4 linked regions of the Danio rerio genome follow. The protein of the gene in region 1 purifies or fractionates together with the protein of each later gene. This does not show direct contact. Links are inferred from orthologs where the notes say so. Each region holds a gene or a part of one and is shown on either strand. Other genes may lie near its edges.

What was found. Proteins that work in one complex are often made in the same cells at the same time.
Region 2: the proteins of polr2f (region 1) and polr3k purify together in Homo sapiens (affinity purification with mass spectrometry; 5 studies listed by BioGRID and IntAct, with this or other methods). This does not show direct contact. The link is inferred for Danio rerio from reciprocal best matches to the Homo sapiens genes POLR2F and POLR3K.
Region 3: the proteins of polr2f (region 1) and polr3glb purify together in Homo sapiens (affinity purification with mass spectrometry; 3 studies listed by BioGRID and IntAct, with this or other methods). This does not show direct contact. The link is inferred for Danio rerio from reciprocal best matches to the Homo sapiens genes POLR2F and POLR3GL.
Region 4: the proteins of polr2f (region 1) and med1 purify together in Homo sapiens (affinity purification with mass spectrometry; 3 studies listed by BioGRID and IntAct, with this or other methods). This does not show direct contact. The link is inferred for Danio rerio from reciprocal best matches to the Homo sapiens genes POLR2F and MED1.

The regions. Positions count from the first base shown.
Region 1 is NC_133178.1:1,278,189-1,282,184, forward strand, and holds the start of polr2f (DNA-directed RNA polymerases I, II, and III subunit RPABC2), read right to left. Parts: upstream 2,801-3,996; 5' UTR 2,778-2,800; intron 2,121-2,777; 5' UTR 1,989-2,120; coding exon 1,969-1,988; intron 1,724-1,968; coding exon 1,654-1,723; intron 644-1,653; coding exon 513-643; intron 1-512. Other genes in the region: uncharacterized protein, read left to right, coding at 3,615-3,636, 3,912-3,971. UniProt on the Homo sapiens protein: DNA-dependent RNA polymerase catalyzes the transcription of DNA into RNA using the four ribonucleoside triphosphates as substrates.
Region 2 is NC_133178.1:45,547,119-45,551,091, forward strand, and holds the start of polr3k (DNA-directed RNA polymerase III subunit RPC10), read left to right. Parts: upstream 1-1,173; 5' UTR 1,174-1,298; coding exon 1,299-1,409; intron 1,410-3,170; coding exon 3,171-3,258; intron 3,259-3,973. Other genes in the region: snrnp25 (U11/U12 small nuclear ribonucleoprotein 25 kDa protein), read right to left, coding at 563-754. UniProt on the Homo sapiens protein: Core component of RNA polymerase III (Pol III) which synthesizes small non-coding RNAs using the four ribonucleoside triphosphates as substrates. Can mediate Pol I proofreading of the nascent RNA transcript.
Region 3 is NC_133191.1:47,264,638-47,268,906, forward strand, and holds the start of polr3glb (DNA-directed RNA polymerase III subunit RPC7-like), read left to right. Parts: upstream 1-1,469; 5' UTR 1,470-1,664; intron 1,665-1,898; 5' UTR 1,899-1,901; coding exon 1,902-2,009; intron 2,010-3,712; coding exon 3,713-3,842; intron 3,843-4,269. UniProt on the Homo sapiens protein: DNA-dependent RNA polymerase catalyzes the transcription of DNA into RNA using the four ribonucleoside triphosphates as substrates. Specific peripheric component of RNA polymerase III which synthesizes small RNAs, such as 5S rRNA and tRNAs.
Region 4 is NC_133187.1:16,852,439-16,856,485, reverse strand, and holds the start of med1 (mediator of RNA polymerase II transcription subunit 1), read right to left. Parts: upstream 2,801-4,047; 5' UTR 2,640-2,800; coding exon 2,531-2,639; intron 1-2,530. UniProt on the Homo sapiens protein: Component of the Mediator complex, a coactivator involved in the regulated transcription of nearly all RNA polymerase II-dependent genes.

The sequences.
Region 1 (3,996 bases):
GGGTTTTGCACTTTAATGCTCCTCTTGAAATGAATGCTAATCAAACGGATAAGAGGCAGATCATTTTGATTGTTTTAGGGAAAAATTTCAAAAGTAAGTTCATGGAAAGTTGAAAACAAAATATTTTCTTAAGAATTTTTAGATATTTGGACTAGAAACGAGAGAAAGCAAAGTAAGAAAAGCATTTGTTTCTCCACAGAAATCAGTCAAACAGAGCCAATCAAACTCTCTAGTGAAACTGTATTATCACAATATTTATCACAGAAAAATAAAACCTCACAATATCAGACACCAAGATCAGCAAGTTAGGCGAAACCAAAGCAGTGCTTCAATCCACAGTTAAACAGAGGACAGAGAAAAGGACACATGAACAGAGTATGAGCGTTCAGATTAATGCTGCGAGATGATTCAGAGATTGAGGCATTGCAGTGTGCATCTCCATGTTTGGTAATGTTGTGTATTTGGCAGTGTGTGTGTGTGTGTTGAGTGGTGATTGTGGATCGGTCACTCACGCAATCTGCAGAGCTCGTGTTCCCAGCACTCGCGCTCTCTCGTATTTGGTCATGTATTGGGTGGTGATTCTCTTCTGATTGGCCTGCTGTCCTTCACCTGCCGGCAGGATCTGAACATTCTCTTGGTCCTCCTACACACACACACACACACACACACACACACACACACACACACATACAAAACATTGGACAAAAATAAACACAAAACACACACAAACACATACACGATACACACAATTAAACAAAACACACACACACACACATATATACATACACAACACAGAAACAAATGCATGCTCAAAACACACAAGCATGCACACACCCACACAAATATGCATAATGTACACAAATGCTAGGACAAAATACAAACACAAAAGCATGCACAACACACACATGAGCAAGCACAAAACACGCATACACAAACACTATACTATAGTGGAGTACTTGATTTGATCTGTTGTGGTGATTCTACTATATCATTCTACTATATTGGCATCACGGTGGCGCTGTGGGTAGCACAAGCGCCTCACAGAAAGAAAGTTGCTGGTTCGAGTCCCGGCTGGGTCAGTTGGCATCTCTGTGTGGAGTTTGCATGTTCTCCCATGTTGGCGTGGGTTTCCTCCAAACACATGCACTATAGGGGAATTGATCAACTAAACTGGCCACAGTGTATGAGTTTGTGTGGGTGTTTCCCATACACATATGCTGTGTAAAACATATGCTGGATAAGTTAGCGGTTCATTCCGCAGAATAATAAAGAGACTAAGCCGAACAGAGAATGAATGAATGTATTGTACTTTAGTAATATAAACAAATAAGCCAATACTTGTGTTTTTACTACAGTAAATTGTAGTGTATTGAAGTATAATATACTCCATAGTTGTAGAAATCTATTGTATACTACAGTTATTCTCAGTTCACTATAGTTAATATTACAGTATGTTGCAGCATTCATTAATAACCAGTTGAAAAATACTATAATATATACAGCAAAATACTACAGTGTGGCTCAAATTATTAAACTGTAACTCTGTGGTATTTCTCATGTGGAAATAAGAGAAATCTTTGACTATAATACTCCATTTCTCAATGATTACCAGGCAGAATATAAGCAAGTATTTCTCTGAAAGTGTGATCTTACATCTTCCACATTCTCCAGATCATCCAGAGGCTCTTCATCTTCAACATCATCGAAATCTCCGTCATCAAAACTAAACAAACAAACAAACAAACTCTGAGATAAACAAACACGTCATCGACAATAAATCACAAATCAAGTCTTCGCTATATCGGGTAAATAAGACTCAGCTGTCAGGTCTGTGTAAGTCACATTCATCGTTATATATGTTGTGTCGCAGTATGGAAATGATCGCATGTTGTTGTTTTCCACATTCACACACTTTAAACGTTCGAAAACAGTAAAACATTGAGCGCAACACACGCGTTTGAAACTCACTTGTCCTCGTTATCCGACATTATTAGTGTTCTGCGTCTCCTACCCCGGTTTAATAGGTAATTTTTTAAGAAAAATGTTATGTCTGGAATCTCACAGCTAGTTTACCGCAGCGCGACTCCAAGCGTGGAAGGATTTTCCGGTGTTGCCGCAGCGTCACTGTCCGTGCAGAAACACGATCCACAGCACTGACGTTCCGCAAACACGCAAATCGTAAAGCAGTAAAAAAAGACACAATGTAGGAAATGTTTTTATTTATTTATTATTTTTTTATTAACAAGAACCAGCATGTACAGTTTTCTTATACAATACAATCACTTTACATTTCTTAACAAGACAATGTAGGAAATGTGTGATGGTTTATAAAACAAAGACGGGATGCTAAAAAGACGTTTCAACGCTGTAAAACTTTTGGTTATAAATTTTCAAATAAATCCCCATATCTAATATTGTCCTGTTCTAGCCGTAACAGCAAACAGAGTAGCTGTACTTTGCTATTTATTAAATTACTTAATAAAATGTATTTTACGTATACCCCCCAACCGTCACAGTACTGTAAAAATATTAATTGTTCTTATCACAGATATTGATGTGCATATCCGCAGCTGAATCCTATCTAGACTTTACCCTGTTCTAGCATCAAATTGACATATTTTTACATTTAAATGTCTAACAAGACAAACATATGAAGATAAAAAGACAACAGAACTGAACGAGACTATAAAATATAGGCTACTATGTCTACTTATTTGGGAATGCGAACTTGATCTGGTTCACACTCCTACACCTAGTATATGACCAAAGCGACGGCGTTCTTCTTCTTCTTCTTCTTCTTATAATTTTACGGCGGTTGACATCCAGCGTTTTGGTGCATTACCGCCACCTTCAGCTCTGCACTGTGGACTAGAGGTTAGGTTTACAGACTAATCATTCCCCCCCACTTCCCTCTTTAAGCGACGGCGTTGGTGTTACCCGCCATTGAAATAGAAGAAAAAAGAGGTGAAGAGTGTCTTGTGACTTCACAAAACTCCTCCCAAAATACAGGTTTTTCCAGTTTTCAAGAAGGAAAAGACTATCTTCGACACGGTAAACATTTGTTTTAAATAATCAATTTGTAAAATATGCAAATGTATAGATGTAACTGCGATGTTTGGAAGAAATTGTTTATTTTGGATGTATTCAGTGTGTAGTTGCAATCAAGCCTTAGATTTGGTTGGTTTTACTTTCAGGTGTGTTTGATAACAAAAACAAAAATTGAATGTAGCCTAGGCCTATTCTATAACCTATATCTGAATGTGCAGTGTCAGCTTGTTTTAAAGAAATGTAAATGTAAAACTTTTACAGCTGTTGAACTTTGTTGTCCTCCTTTCATTAAACATGTTCACTTTGTTATAAATAGGCCTATTTGATTTAATCACTATACAAGAGCGCTGTTTACCGCATATGTTCAGGGCAAAAAAGTGTAAGTAGATGTTCATATAGACTACACAAACATTAACATTGGTAACAGAGTATAAAAAAGTTACAAATCAATATATAACTTGCTAAGTAAAATCTGTGTAATCTATGACAGGGTGATAAAGAGACAATCATCAGGTGCAAATAGAAAGTTGATGGACTGAAGACTGAAGAAAAAACAGAGAATCAACATGTCCGGCAGAGAAAGCAGAGGTCAGAGTTTATTCATCCAAACCGGCTATTTCCTAAAGTCAAAAACTAACCATCACAAAACCAAAAGAAAACAGCTCATAAAGATGAAGACGTGGCTTTTTAAAATAAAGATGTTAGAATTATACACTATGAAATGGCTTTATATGGTTTGAGCAATTATCTGTCATAATGTTCACTACATGTTTACCGTTTTCACTGTGATAAAATAATAATGTCCTGTAGTAACACTCCAGTGCTGATCTTTCTAACATGTTTTTTAATTTAATGTTTTATAGCTGTTGTTCCTGGTTCTGCTCACAAGAGAAGTCAGAGCATAGAGCTAGACGCACCCAAAAGTAAGTCCTAATATTTTTAACACTG
Region 2 (3,973 bases), about 44 Mb from region 1:
GAATATTATCAAGCTACGAGAATACATCTGTGTGCACATAAAACAAAAATAACTACTTTACTCAACAGTTTCTTCTCCTCAGTGTATTGCATGTGTTCACGAGTGGTGTGCACTTATGTACTGACTATGACTTCCTTAGTTTGAAACAATTCACAGACACATTTGAGGTAATAAGCAAGTCAGAGGTGCAACCAAACGCGGCACATAAATGTGAGCATTATACTGACACAGAGGAGAAGAAACTGTTGAAAAAAAATCTGTAGAATATAGAAGATTTTAAGCTGGAACTATTACCCTCTAGTATTTACAACTACATTATCAGCTATTCACAACCTGGACAAACAGCTCTGAGGAAGATTTTAAATATATTAAACTCAAAGTGATGGCGCTTCTTGACCACCATTATATAGATAACGTACATAGGAAAACATAGTTCTCAACTTAAAAAAAAAACGTATTTTCTGTTCTACTTAAGAACAGAATCTTGGGATGTCAATTAACCGAACATTTTAATATCTGGGTGAATTGTCCGTTTAAAACAGCCCCTTGACTGCATGTACACCTGAATGGGCAGGTCACACAGAAGCGGGTCCTGCACTATGAGAGCCAGCCCTTCTTCAAAGATGTCCAGAATTTCTGAGTGTGGAAGAGCCTCCTCGTCTTCTTCCTCTTCGTGCTCCTCTTTTATTTCATCTTCCACAGTTTTCTCCTCTAACTCTTTTTTGAGCTCGGTTTCGTCCTTTATTTCGTCCATTTTATCTTCAAACGTCTTGTTTTGAGGGTATAGAAATCCAAGACTTATAAAAAAGTCACTAAGCGTTAATAGTTAACATAACTACAATTTCGTAAAAAAACTGTACGCCTTTTGCAGAAGCTTATTGTATTAAAAATTGTAACTTTAACAATTTGAGCCGTTCCAGCATTTCTTTTTACATTTCATTTTTATAAACACGCTGTCGGAATATTTCAGTGATGCACCCGACTTTAGTTCCGCATAGGTTTTTTATGATTCACATTCTTTATTACAATAACAATCTTCTATTAAAATATTTTTTAATCAGCATTAATATATTCGTTGACATTTTCATATATATTTAAGTTTAATATATACAACAGAAACAGTGTTCATCCTTGTCTATATTTCGTTTTATGGCGAGCCAATAATACAGAGGCACATTGATTGTCATGTGCTTCCTGTAGCGACTTAGAAAGGACTGTGTGTAAATACCAACTTCAGTTGCATCAGAAAGAAACTATAACTGTATTTACTACGTAACATAATCTATGACTGTTTGAAAATGCTCCTGTTTTGTCCGACATGTGGGAATGTGTTAATCGTGGAAGAAGGACAGCGATGCTTTAGATTCGCGTGTAACACATGTCCATATGTGCACAACATCACGAGGAAGGTAATGCATAACACCGGTTATGGAAATTTGTATCTAATAAGCGTTTGGAACGTTTGATTCGAACGCATTAAAGTTCGACGGAACGCCGACATTTAAAAGTTCGATTCGAATGAAACGAAAGAAATGACTTGATTCGATAATATGAGAACGTGTGAGGAACATCTGATGAGATCAATGTTTCTAACATTACAAATTATATAACAAAAATAGATTTGAGTGAGGGAGTGTTTATGTTCTATCAAACATTGCTTTCAGAGCATGATAAATAACGCTGGGTTACTGAGTAGTTACTTAAATGAAATGGTTAAATGATTATAAGATTGTATTGTACTTTAAAATGCTCTTTATTTCATCACGTTATTATATTTATGTATAAAATTTACAGTTTTAGAATAAATTCTCATTAAAAGATATTTTGAATAATGCTGGCACCCATTTTCTACCATAGTAGGAAATAAGAGTTGATTGAAGTCAATGGATCCCAGCAACATTCTTCAAAATATCTTCTTTTGTTTAACAGAAGATATAAACTTACTCAATGTACTTAATAAACCAAGAACTTCGTTTATATTATCTTGAAAACGTAGGAATTAAAAATATTTTAGAAATTTTTTAGAAATATTGTTATAGCTTCAGGTGGATAAACATCTGGATACTTAAAAGTTTATATTTGATGTCACTTCATAGATACTTATGTATGTGTGTCTTATCATCAAATGTTCATTCATAAATTGCACATACTTCTGAATTAAATCAGCCACAGTGCCACACGCAGGTTAACATTTTACCACCACTCTTTACTTCTCTTGTGTCTATGAACTCCGTAACATTACAAAACTTCCCATCATGCCACCTGTTTCCCGTCTTAAAGACACAGATGCAATTATAGCACATGACAATACTAACTTCAGAATCATAACACAAAACCTGGATAAATAAATCACCTCTATAAACTACTGACATTGTTTTTAAAAGATAGCTCTTAAAAACTCATTTTTGCATCCCCCAAAATGCTGTTGTGCAAACAAATGGCCAAAACACATACAAGTTTTCAATGCTTAGTTGGTCTGTAAATGTAATTGGCTGTTAAGTGAAAAAGTCAATTTCAAACTCTGATTAGAATTCAAAATGACGCTGTTTTAGACACTGGTAACAACTGTATTTATACAGTGACATATTAAAGAAGAGCCACTTGTCATAGTATTTTTGCTATTTATGTCATTGATAGTTTTTTTCAACATTCCGCATATATATTCTTTAAAGTCTGTGTGAAATCCAAATTTACAGTGTTTATTTTACAAGCACACAATGCTATTCTTTAGGTAAATGATAAATCCATGCAAGCTAATTCACCGAAAAAAAAAATCTTTGTTCTGATAATCTTCAAAGTCTGACCATTTGCTCTGGCGTTTGGAGTGGCAGTCCTTCTCTGATGATGTCAGTTTGGCAGATGCATCCACAATATTCCTAACCACGCCCCTCTTACCTTTAGTTGATGAGGGAATGATGTGCAAAAAGAAAGCCCCGCCCCCTACTCAATATGCAGTTTCAGTTTGAGGTCCTTCAACATACTAAAATAAGTCTCAGCAACTTGCAGTAAAATTAAAAACACTTATAAATCACCTTGAACCATCCTTGTTTTTATTAGTATCTAACAATTGAAGCTTGTTTCTATGAGGGTTAGGTTTATGGTCAGGCATAGACAGTATCATTGACCTGATAAAAAAATAGGAAAACAAACCTGTTTATGTGCTTTAACAGGTAAACAACAGAAAGTACCCCAAACTGAAGGAGGTTGATGATGTTCTTGGAGGATCTGCTGCTTGGGAAAATGTGGATTCCACTGCAGGTAAACAAATGAAACTTGAAAAGTAAAGTTTGCTCACAAACTTATGGTGGATTGACTGAGACTAGTCTGAAAGTTTGAAGTAGTTTTAAAGTTTAATTAATTGAAATAGTTTTTAAGAATTTTGAAACAGTCGGCATAGATTGATAACTACATATAGGTCAGCATGTATCTAGTATGGATTGGTATGTTTTAGTATAGATTGGTATATGGTTAGTATGTTTCTAGTGTGGATTAGATTATTATAGTATGTTTCTAGTCTGGATTGGTATATTATTAGTATGTTTGTTAGTATGTTTCTAGTATGGATTTGTGTGTCCTTAGTATGTTTCTAGTGTGGTTTATGTCTCTAGTATAGATTGGTATATTGTTAGTATGTTTTAGTGTGGGTTAGTATATTTTTAGTATGTTTTAGTATGGATTGGTGTGTCCGTTAGTATGTTTCTAGTATAGATTGGTATATTGTTTGTATGTTTCTAGTATGGATTAGTATATTTTTATTATGTTTTATGGTATGAATTGGTGTGGCCTTGGTTTGTTTTTTAATGTGGTTTATTATGTTTCTAGTATGGATTGGTATATTTGGAGTATGTTATGTTTTTCTTCCATGGATTGGTATATTATTACTATGTTTCAAATGTGGATTAATATATTTTTAGTATGTTTGTTAGTATGTATCTAGTATGGATTGGTGTGTCCTTTAGTGTGTTTCTAGTGT
Region 3 (4,269 bases), on another chromosome or scaffold:
TTTAACGAAAAGAAGATTTGTTCAACACATTTCTAAGCATAATAGTTTTTTAATAAACATTAACTCATTTCTAATAAGTGATTTATTTTATCTTTGCCATGATGACAGTATATAATATTTGACTAGATATTTTTCAAGACACTTCTATACAGCTTAAAGTGACATTTAAAGGCATAACTAGGTTAATTAGTTTAACTAGGCAGGTTAGGGTAATAAGGCAAGTTATTGTATAACAGTGGTTTGTTCTGTAATCCAAGGGTTCCCAAACTTTTCAGCCCATGACACCCAAAACGACAATGCCAGTGACTCGCGACTCCCAACATCCTCTGAGGTGGTTATAAGTACAGAAACCCATGTCTATTCTTTGTGGAATTAATGTATGTCAGTGCTGTTAATGTGCCAGAAAGTTTAACCTGGTGTTATAAAATCAGTCTGTTACATCTGACGCTATTGCTGTCTTTAACATAATGTAATTACCCCAGGGGTCGCAATCCAATAGAACTAGTAACTAGAAGCTACTATAGTAACTCAATACAGCAGTATATAGTGTATAAAGATGTTAAAATGTTAAATCACTATAAAGATGATTTAGATTTTTCTCTTCAGTAGGTTATGGATAAAATATGGTAATTCTTATGGTTTAATAAAAATAACTCGATTTTTGGAAATAACTAGGCGACCCCCCCCCCCTTCATTGTCGCGCGTCCCCCACTTTGAGAACCCCTGTAGACTATCAAAAAAAAAAAAAAAAAAAAAGCTTAAAAGGGCTAATAATTTTGACCCTAAAAATTTTCATTGAAAAATTCAAAACTGCTTTTATTTTAGCCAAAATAAAACAATTAAGTCTTTCTCCAGAAGAAAAAATATTATCAGACATACTGTGAAAATTTCCTTGCCCTGTTAAACATCATTTGGGAAATATTTTAAAAAGAAAAAAGAATTCTAAGGGGGGCTAATAACAATACCTCAACTGTAAACACACACACACACACACACACACGCATGCACGCGCACACACACGCACTGTGTCTGTGAGTATTATACAATAAAGCCATGAATTACAGAAATATCTATACTGTATGTACACGGACAAATATGTTTCACATATGTAATAAAGTGTTGTAACTTAGTTATAGGCTACATAAACAGTAGTTTTAATAAATAATAGCCAACATTTAAAACAGATCAAAAATGTTTATCAAAATTTGTCCTAAGTTAAAAATGTGTGTTGTTGAATAGTTTTGGAACAACTTTGATAAAGGTTTTGATCCACTTCAAATGTTGACTACAGTATAATAATCTTTAGCATGTGCATCAGCATCTCTGTGAGCAATATGCAAAACATGTAATGAATCCTTACATATTTTGTAATGATTTGTTTGTTTAGCATGATTCACTTTGAGTAGCACTGGTTAACGTTAACTGACGCGAAACGCGGAACCATAAAAGACCGCGCTCATGTTTCTGGCAGGAGTGTTTTCAGAAGCGGGCAAAAACAAACGGGCAGATGTTTGGCGGGTGATTTTATTGCTCAATTTTACATCAATAAAACCTGAAATTACATTAAAAACAACCACGTTTACTGACGGATTAACCAATAAAACCTTTGCACAATGAAACGAAGTTGAAAATAAAGAGGGATTTCGCCGCATTGAGTGAAAGAGGTGTGTTTATATGCTACAGTTCGGTCAAAACAAATAAAACGTTACATTGAAAATAAAACATTTACCAAAAGTACATTTATGTAAAAATAAATATTTTAACATGTTTGGCCTAAATGTGTCTTTTCTAGCCGAATTTAGTTGTTTGATAATGAGTAAACTTATACTGTGAATAACGGATAAACGAGTTAAATAAAGAGGATGTATGATTAATAAATGTGAAATATTTTGTCTCAGATGATGGCAGGAAGGGGCAGAGGGCAGCTCACTTTCTCTGTGGAGATAGTTGGGATCGGTAAAGGTGAAAATCTCCCTCCGTCCTGCATCCAGCCGACACCTCTGTTCCCCGTGAGTCTTCAAGACACAACAATAAAGCCTCGTTTATAAACTGTTATACGCTTGTTATACACTGCTATTATCAAGATATGAGTCAGATTCTGCATTTCATGAGCATAAACGCAGTGCTTTAATAGTTTAATGTGGATGGCGTCACGAGCTACACAGAAATTGCATTGAAAAAACGGTCCTGTTCAACATTCAGCAAACATTACATTTTAAAAGTGTCTAATATCACAACAACATATTTGTTTAAATATTTGTTTTAGAATTCAAATTGTTTTATTGTTGAACACATCATCACAGTATTCCACCTTATTTACCTTAACAGTTACATAATAAGCCACTTACACTCACCGGCCACTTTATTAGGTACACCTTACTAGTTTTGGGTTGGACCACTTTTGTCTTCAGAACTGCCTTAATCATTCGTGGCATAGATTCAAAAAGATACTGGAAATATTCCTCAGAGATTTTGGTCCATATTGACATGATATCATCAAGCAGTTTGCCCGCTAAACATCCATGATGTGAATCTCCTTTTCCACCACATCCCAAAGATGCTCTATTGGATTGTGATCTGGTGAATATTGTGGCCATTTGAGTACAGTGAACTCATTGTGATGTTAAAAAAAAAAGTCTGAGATGATTTGTGCTTTCTGACATGGCGCGTTATCCTGCTGGAAGTAAGAGTAGAAATCAGAATTATCAGCCCCCCTTTGAATTTTTTTGTTCTTTTTTATATTTTTTAAATGATGTTTAACAGGGCAAGGACATGTTCACAGTATGTCTGATAATATTGTTTCTTCTGGAAAATTAAAGCAGTTATTAATTGTTAAATACCATTTTAAGGTCAAAATTATTAGCCCCTTTAAGCAATTTTTTTTCCGATAGTCTACAAGCCATCATTATACAATAACTTGCCTAATTACCCTAACCTGCCTAGTTAACCTAATTTACCTAGTTAAGCCGTTAACTGTCACTTTAAGCTGTATAGAAGTGTCTTGAAAAATATCTAGTCAAATATTATGTGCATCATGGCAAAGATAAAATAAATCAGTTATTAGAGATGAGGTATTAAAACTATTATGTTTAGAAATGTGCTGAAAAAAATATCTTTCTGTTAAACAGAAATTGGGGAAAAAAATAAAAAAGGGGCTAATAATTCTGACTTCAACTGTATGTTTTTTTTATTTCAATTAACATTTTTATTACAGTAAAGAAAATAATTTTATTGCCATTTTAAGTGTCTGTAGATGTCTCTGCCATAAAGACAGTACATAATATTTGACTAGATATTTTTCAAAATACTAGTATTCAGCTTAAAGTGACATTTAAAGGCTTAACTACAGTAGGTTGATTGGGGTTTATTAGACAAATCATTGTATAACAATGTTTTTTTTCTGTAGCCAATCGAAGAAGAAAAATTTTCTTAATGGGGCTAATAATATTGACCTTTAAATGGATTTTATTCTAGCCGAAATAAAACAAATACGACTTTCTCCGGAAGAAAAAATGTTATCAGACATACTGTGAAAATTTTCTTGCTCTGTTGAACATTATTTAGGAAATATTTTAAAAAAGAAAAAAATCATTCTGACTTTAGCTGTATGCCCTATTAAAAGCTGATTTCTGTCTTGGCATGTGTAAATGAGTGACAGCAGGTGTTTGTGTGAGCAGCAGACAGATGTGAATGTGCTGTTTGATGTGTTCAGCCTCTGGATCAGAAGCCAGTGCCCCTGCAGGCAGGTGAGGAGGCCGAGTACATGCTGGCCCTCAAACAGGAGTTTAGGGGAGCCATGAAGACGCTCCCGTTTTACATCCGTCCAGCGGCTCCCAAGAAAGGTCAGTTCAGAGCCCAGGACTAGCTCTTTACTGACATCTTTAAAGGGCTTATATTATGCTCATTGTATCATGTCATTTTTTTTTCGAAATTACATAACATGCGATTTCTACACTTTGGCACATATGCAATCCTTTTTTTCTAATCCTGAGTCTTAATGCAATTATTGTAAATAACATTTAAAGGTGCAAATGTTTAAAGGTATGTAATTTGACACCCAGTGGTTGAACTAGGAATTACATTCCAGAATCAAAACATATGCAAGTGCAGGTTGCCAGATGACCAAGAGGAGCGAGTCTCAAGCCTAATGTAAACCGTGTTCAGTATAAAAGCAACGGCACGTGATAGAACAAATATTTTCCATATTAAAAGGAGTTTTTGTCCTAACCAACACCTCGAATTGATATGTTAGAAACGGCTTTTATTTCA
Region 4 (4,047 bases), on another chromosome or scaffold:
ATTTTTTTAGCAGAAAACAGTTAATTGAAAAGTAAACTTTTCTTAGCAGACAGCGGGTAAACAAATTAATAAATAGCAGGAGCGATCGGATGCTAAACACTCAGCTGAAGTAACAGGCCTGCTGTATGTCTGGGTCTGTACGGGACACTTCTGGGTCTGGAGACAGACCTCGATAAGCCCTTTAGTGATCAACAAAAAATAAACAAAAAGATTAAGCATTTGTTATTATTATCTGTCTGAATTTACATTGAGTGTCTATTGAAACACTGACAGCAATGTGCTGTGTTTTGGTCTCACCTGCACTTTTGCTGAACTCTCAGAAACTCAAACACACAGACACGTCAGAAGACGTAATGTCAACAACAGACTTACAGATTTTTAAGAGGTGATTGAGACATGTCCTCCCATGTCCAGCGCATGTCATAGGTAAAGGCAGATTTTTTTTTGTTTTGTTGCAGTTGTTTTTAAACACTAAACTAATATTAAAAATGCATATTCTGAACTGCAGATCACAGGGCGCACTGAACCATGGGAGGACAACAGGACGGTACGATTTTTTAAAGAGAACCGTTGCATCCCTCCTGGATCCCGTACCGTAGTAGCTTTGCATGAAACGTCAGAGCTTAAACTAGCAAAGCTCCAAAACAGAAAAGAAAACTTTTCAATTTATGTATTTGAGATGTAAATACTTGTTACAGCAGAACAAAATTTGACTTCATACTGTCAAACAAACATAAATTGCATGTTTGCAAATATGACAAACAAGTCATGTACAAGAACTGAACAACTAGTCAGTAATCAGTGTTACCACCTCTCATATGTTTTGAATAATCTGTTAAAGGATGGCTCCTCCAAGTATTCCATCACTAACACTGCTCAACGTGGAGGGCATTGTCATCCATAAAAACAAAATCCGGCCACATTGCACCAGAATAAAGTTTGACAACTGGCCTCAGAATTTCATTCCTATACCTTGGGCTTGTCTGGTTGGATACTAACACTCCTGTTGCATCCTGTAGGTCAGGGGTAGGGAACCTATGGGTCAGGAGCCACATGTGGCTTTTTGACCAAAAATATGTAGCTTTCTCCAGCTGTCTTCTTTCAATAATATTTTAAAGTTTAAAAATCATAACTGTTATTAGAAACCAGTTTCATATTGAAAATACAATTATAATTCCCTTTATACTGTATTTTTTAAAGCAAAATAAGAACTCAGGTTACAATAAAAGGATGTTTCTAATGAGCATGTGTGGTGCTGTGGCTTAACTTGAATCGCAACACCAATTCATTCACAAGTGGCAATGGCATACTGATTTTTTTTTCATTCTATAAATTGTCCTTAAATAAGTAAAGATGTTGTTATATACACACACCCCCAATTGCTCTTTAAAAAATGTATTTGATAAATAAAAAACAAACAATGGCTCCTTGCTGAAAAAATGTTACAGACCCCTGCTGTAGGTCATTTTGCAGACTGATTGCAGACTGATTCCCTCGCAGGGAAAGGTATTGGTTATAATTTGGTGTTGTTACCCATTGTCTGCCTCCACCATGCATTCTACTCACTCCACCAATCCTTCTGAACATGTTCCAAGCTCTGAAAATTACACTTTGATATGTTCTCACTGGCTCTACAACTCCTGTGTCTGCCTCAGGCCTGCTTGCAGCTTCCCAATGTCCCGGTTGAGGTCAGAATTCTGTAGCCTACCTAAATTTGGCATTTCATGCGCTTCCTGACCTCAAGTAAAGCTTTCAGAGCTCTTCCCAATTACGGACATCCGTCAATTGGTACCTAATGACAAGCAATAATATCTGATGATCACCAAATGCCATTAACGATGACATTTCATTATTGACAACATTGTCTAATAACAGACTAATGTTTGCATGCATTTTTGCATTAAGAAATAACACATTTTCTGTTTTATAATAAATAAATAAAATTCATATGTAGGCTAATATTTAATAAACTGCATCATGCTTAACACGCATTAACAGACACCAGCCTTAATAAATAGATTTTTGTCTTAATCACCAAAACTTTCGGTTTTGGCTTAGTTTATAATAAAGACTATAGCACTCCTCCTATTCTTAACAAATAACTATGTTTCCTTTCCTCCATAAACGGACAGGCAAGTAAGTAAGTATTACATAAATGTATCATGTATTGGGCTGATATTTTTAAGTCATGGCAAAAAAGCATGGTAGAAATTTAAAAAAGTCCCAACCACCCTTTATTCATTCTAACTAAATAACCAAAAATGAACAGCAATCCCTTTATTTTTTCTGATTATGAGAAATTTAATTAATGTAACGTTACAATAAATATTTACTTTTCAACATTGATGCTAACCTTCGCCAAAACATCCCAAAAACACTCGAGATATCTGACGGACGACTCGGAAATCGTGCACAATCCGTAAAAGGGAAATCTATGGGTCATTTCTAAAAAATAATTAAAGCATTTTGTAGATTCTAGCTGACACAAATAAACTTTAAGTAAACAGGAAGTATGTGCTTGTAACGTTACCAGATCCATCCTCGGCTCGGGGACGCTCGGAGCCCGCGGCTGTGCCTCCCTGGGACGAGTCTGCGACCGGACTGCTGCTTTGCACCGCCGCCATCTTCCGAATTTGCATCCAACAGTGACCCGACAACGGTAAAGCAGAAAGAGCTAAAACATTATACTAAGACGCGGTCACAATAAAATCAGCCCTCGTTAAAATAGACCGCGAACAAAGCGCAATAACCAGGCGAAAATGCCTAACAACAGACTACTGGATCGAGAAACTGAAATGACGTCACGTGATCTTCTTCTTCGCTTTTTCCACAATGCATTTTGTCTATATATCGCCACCTGGCAATAGGCTGTACCCAAAGAGCTTAGATGCTCTTTGCTGTAGTGTAGCAGATAACATTCTTACTTTCCCATATGGAACATCCCGTTTGGTTATTTTTCGGGGAACGTTATCTGTAGTTTTTTTTGGCAACCAAAACCTAACCAAAATCTTCCCAGAACGTTCCCTTATTATTTATTATTATATTACATTTTCTGGAGATTATTTGTGGGTCTTATTTTCATAAACTAAAGAGAACCTTCCCATGATGTTCCCTTCAGGTTATTTGTGGGTTTTATTCTCATAATAACTTTTGATTGTATATTTTTCAATGCGACTGATAACATACACACACACAAACACTATGGTGTATATATTACATTTACATTTAGTCATTTAGCAGACGCTTTTATCCAAAGCGACTTACAAATGAGGACAAGGAAGCAACTTACACAACTATAAGAGCAACAATGAATAAGTGCTATAGGCAAGTTTCAGGTCTGTAAAGTCTAAGAAGGAAAGTATTAGTATTTTTTTTTTTTTGGGGTACAGTTAGTGTGATATCCAGAGAGGCAATTGCAGATTAGGAAGTGAAGTGGAGACTTCATATATATATATATATATATATATATATATATATATATATATATATATATATATATATATATATATATATATATATATATACATATACACACACACACACACACACACACACACAGACATTTATTATTTTTTTTTTTTATCAGTTTTTTTTTTATTTACAGGGGTTGGACAATGAAACTGAAACGCCTGGTTTTAGACCACAGTAATTCATGATGTAGGTCATTCTTTTGTGGTCAATACAGCATCAATTTATCTGGAAAATGACAGATACAAGTCTTGCACAGGATTTTGAGCCATTTTTTCTGCAAAAAAAGGTGAACAGGTCACAACGTGATGCTGGTGGAGTAAATACGTGGTAGTAATGTAAGTGCAACAGTTTTATTGTGACAATGTAACTAATTACATTGTGACAACTGAAACGTTGCAACAATAAAACTGTGACATTGCCAGTTATTAATCACAATGTTGTGACAACATTGTGTACTTCTACCAATATGAATTATTTAATTTGAATTATACAATTATTCAAATTTTATTTTATTGAATAAAAAATATACCACCCCTCCCTCTTCGTTGACCAATTAATTGATCTGTTGCTCGGTTA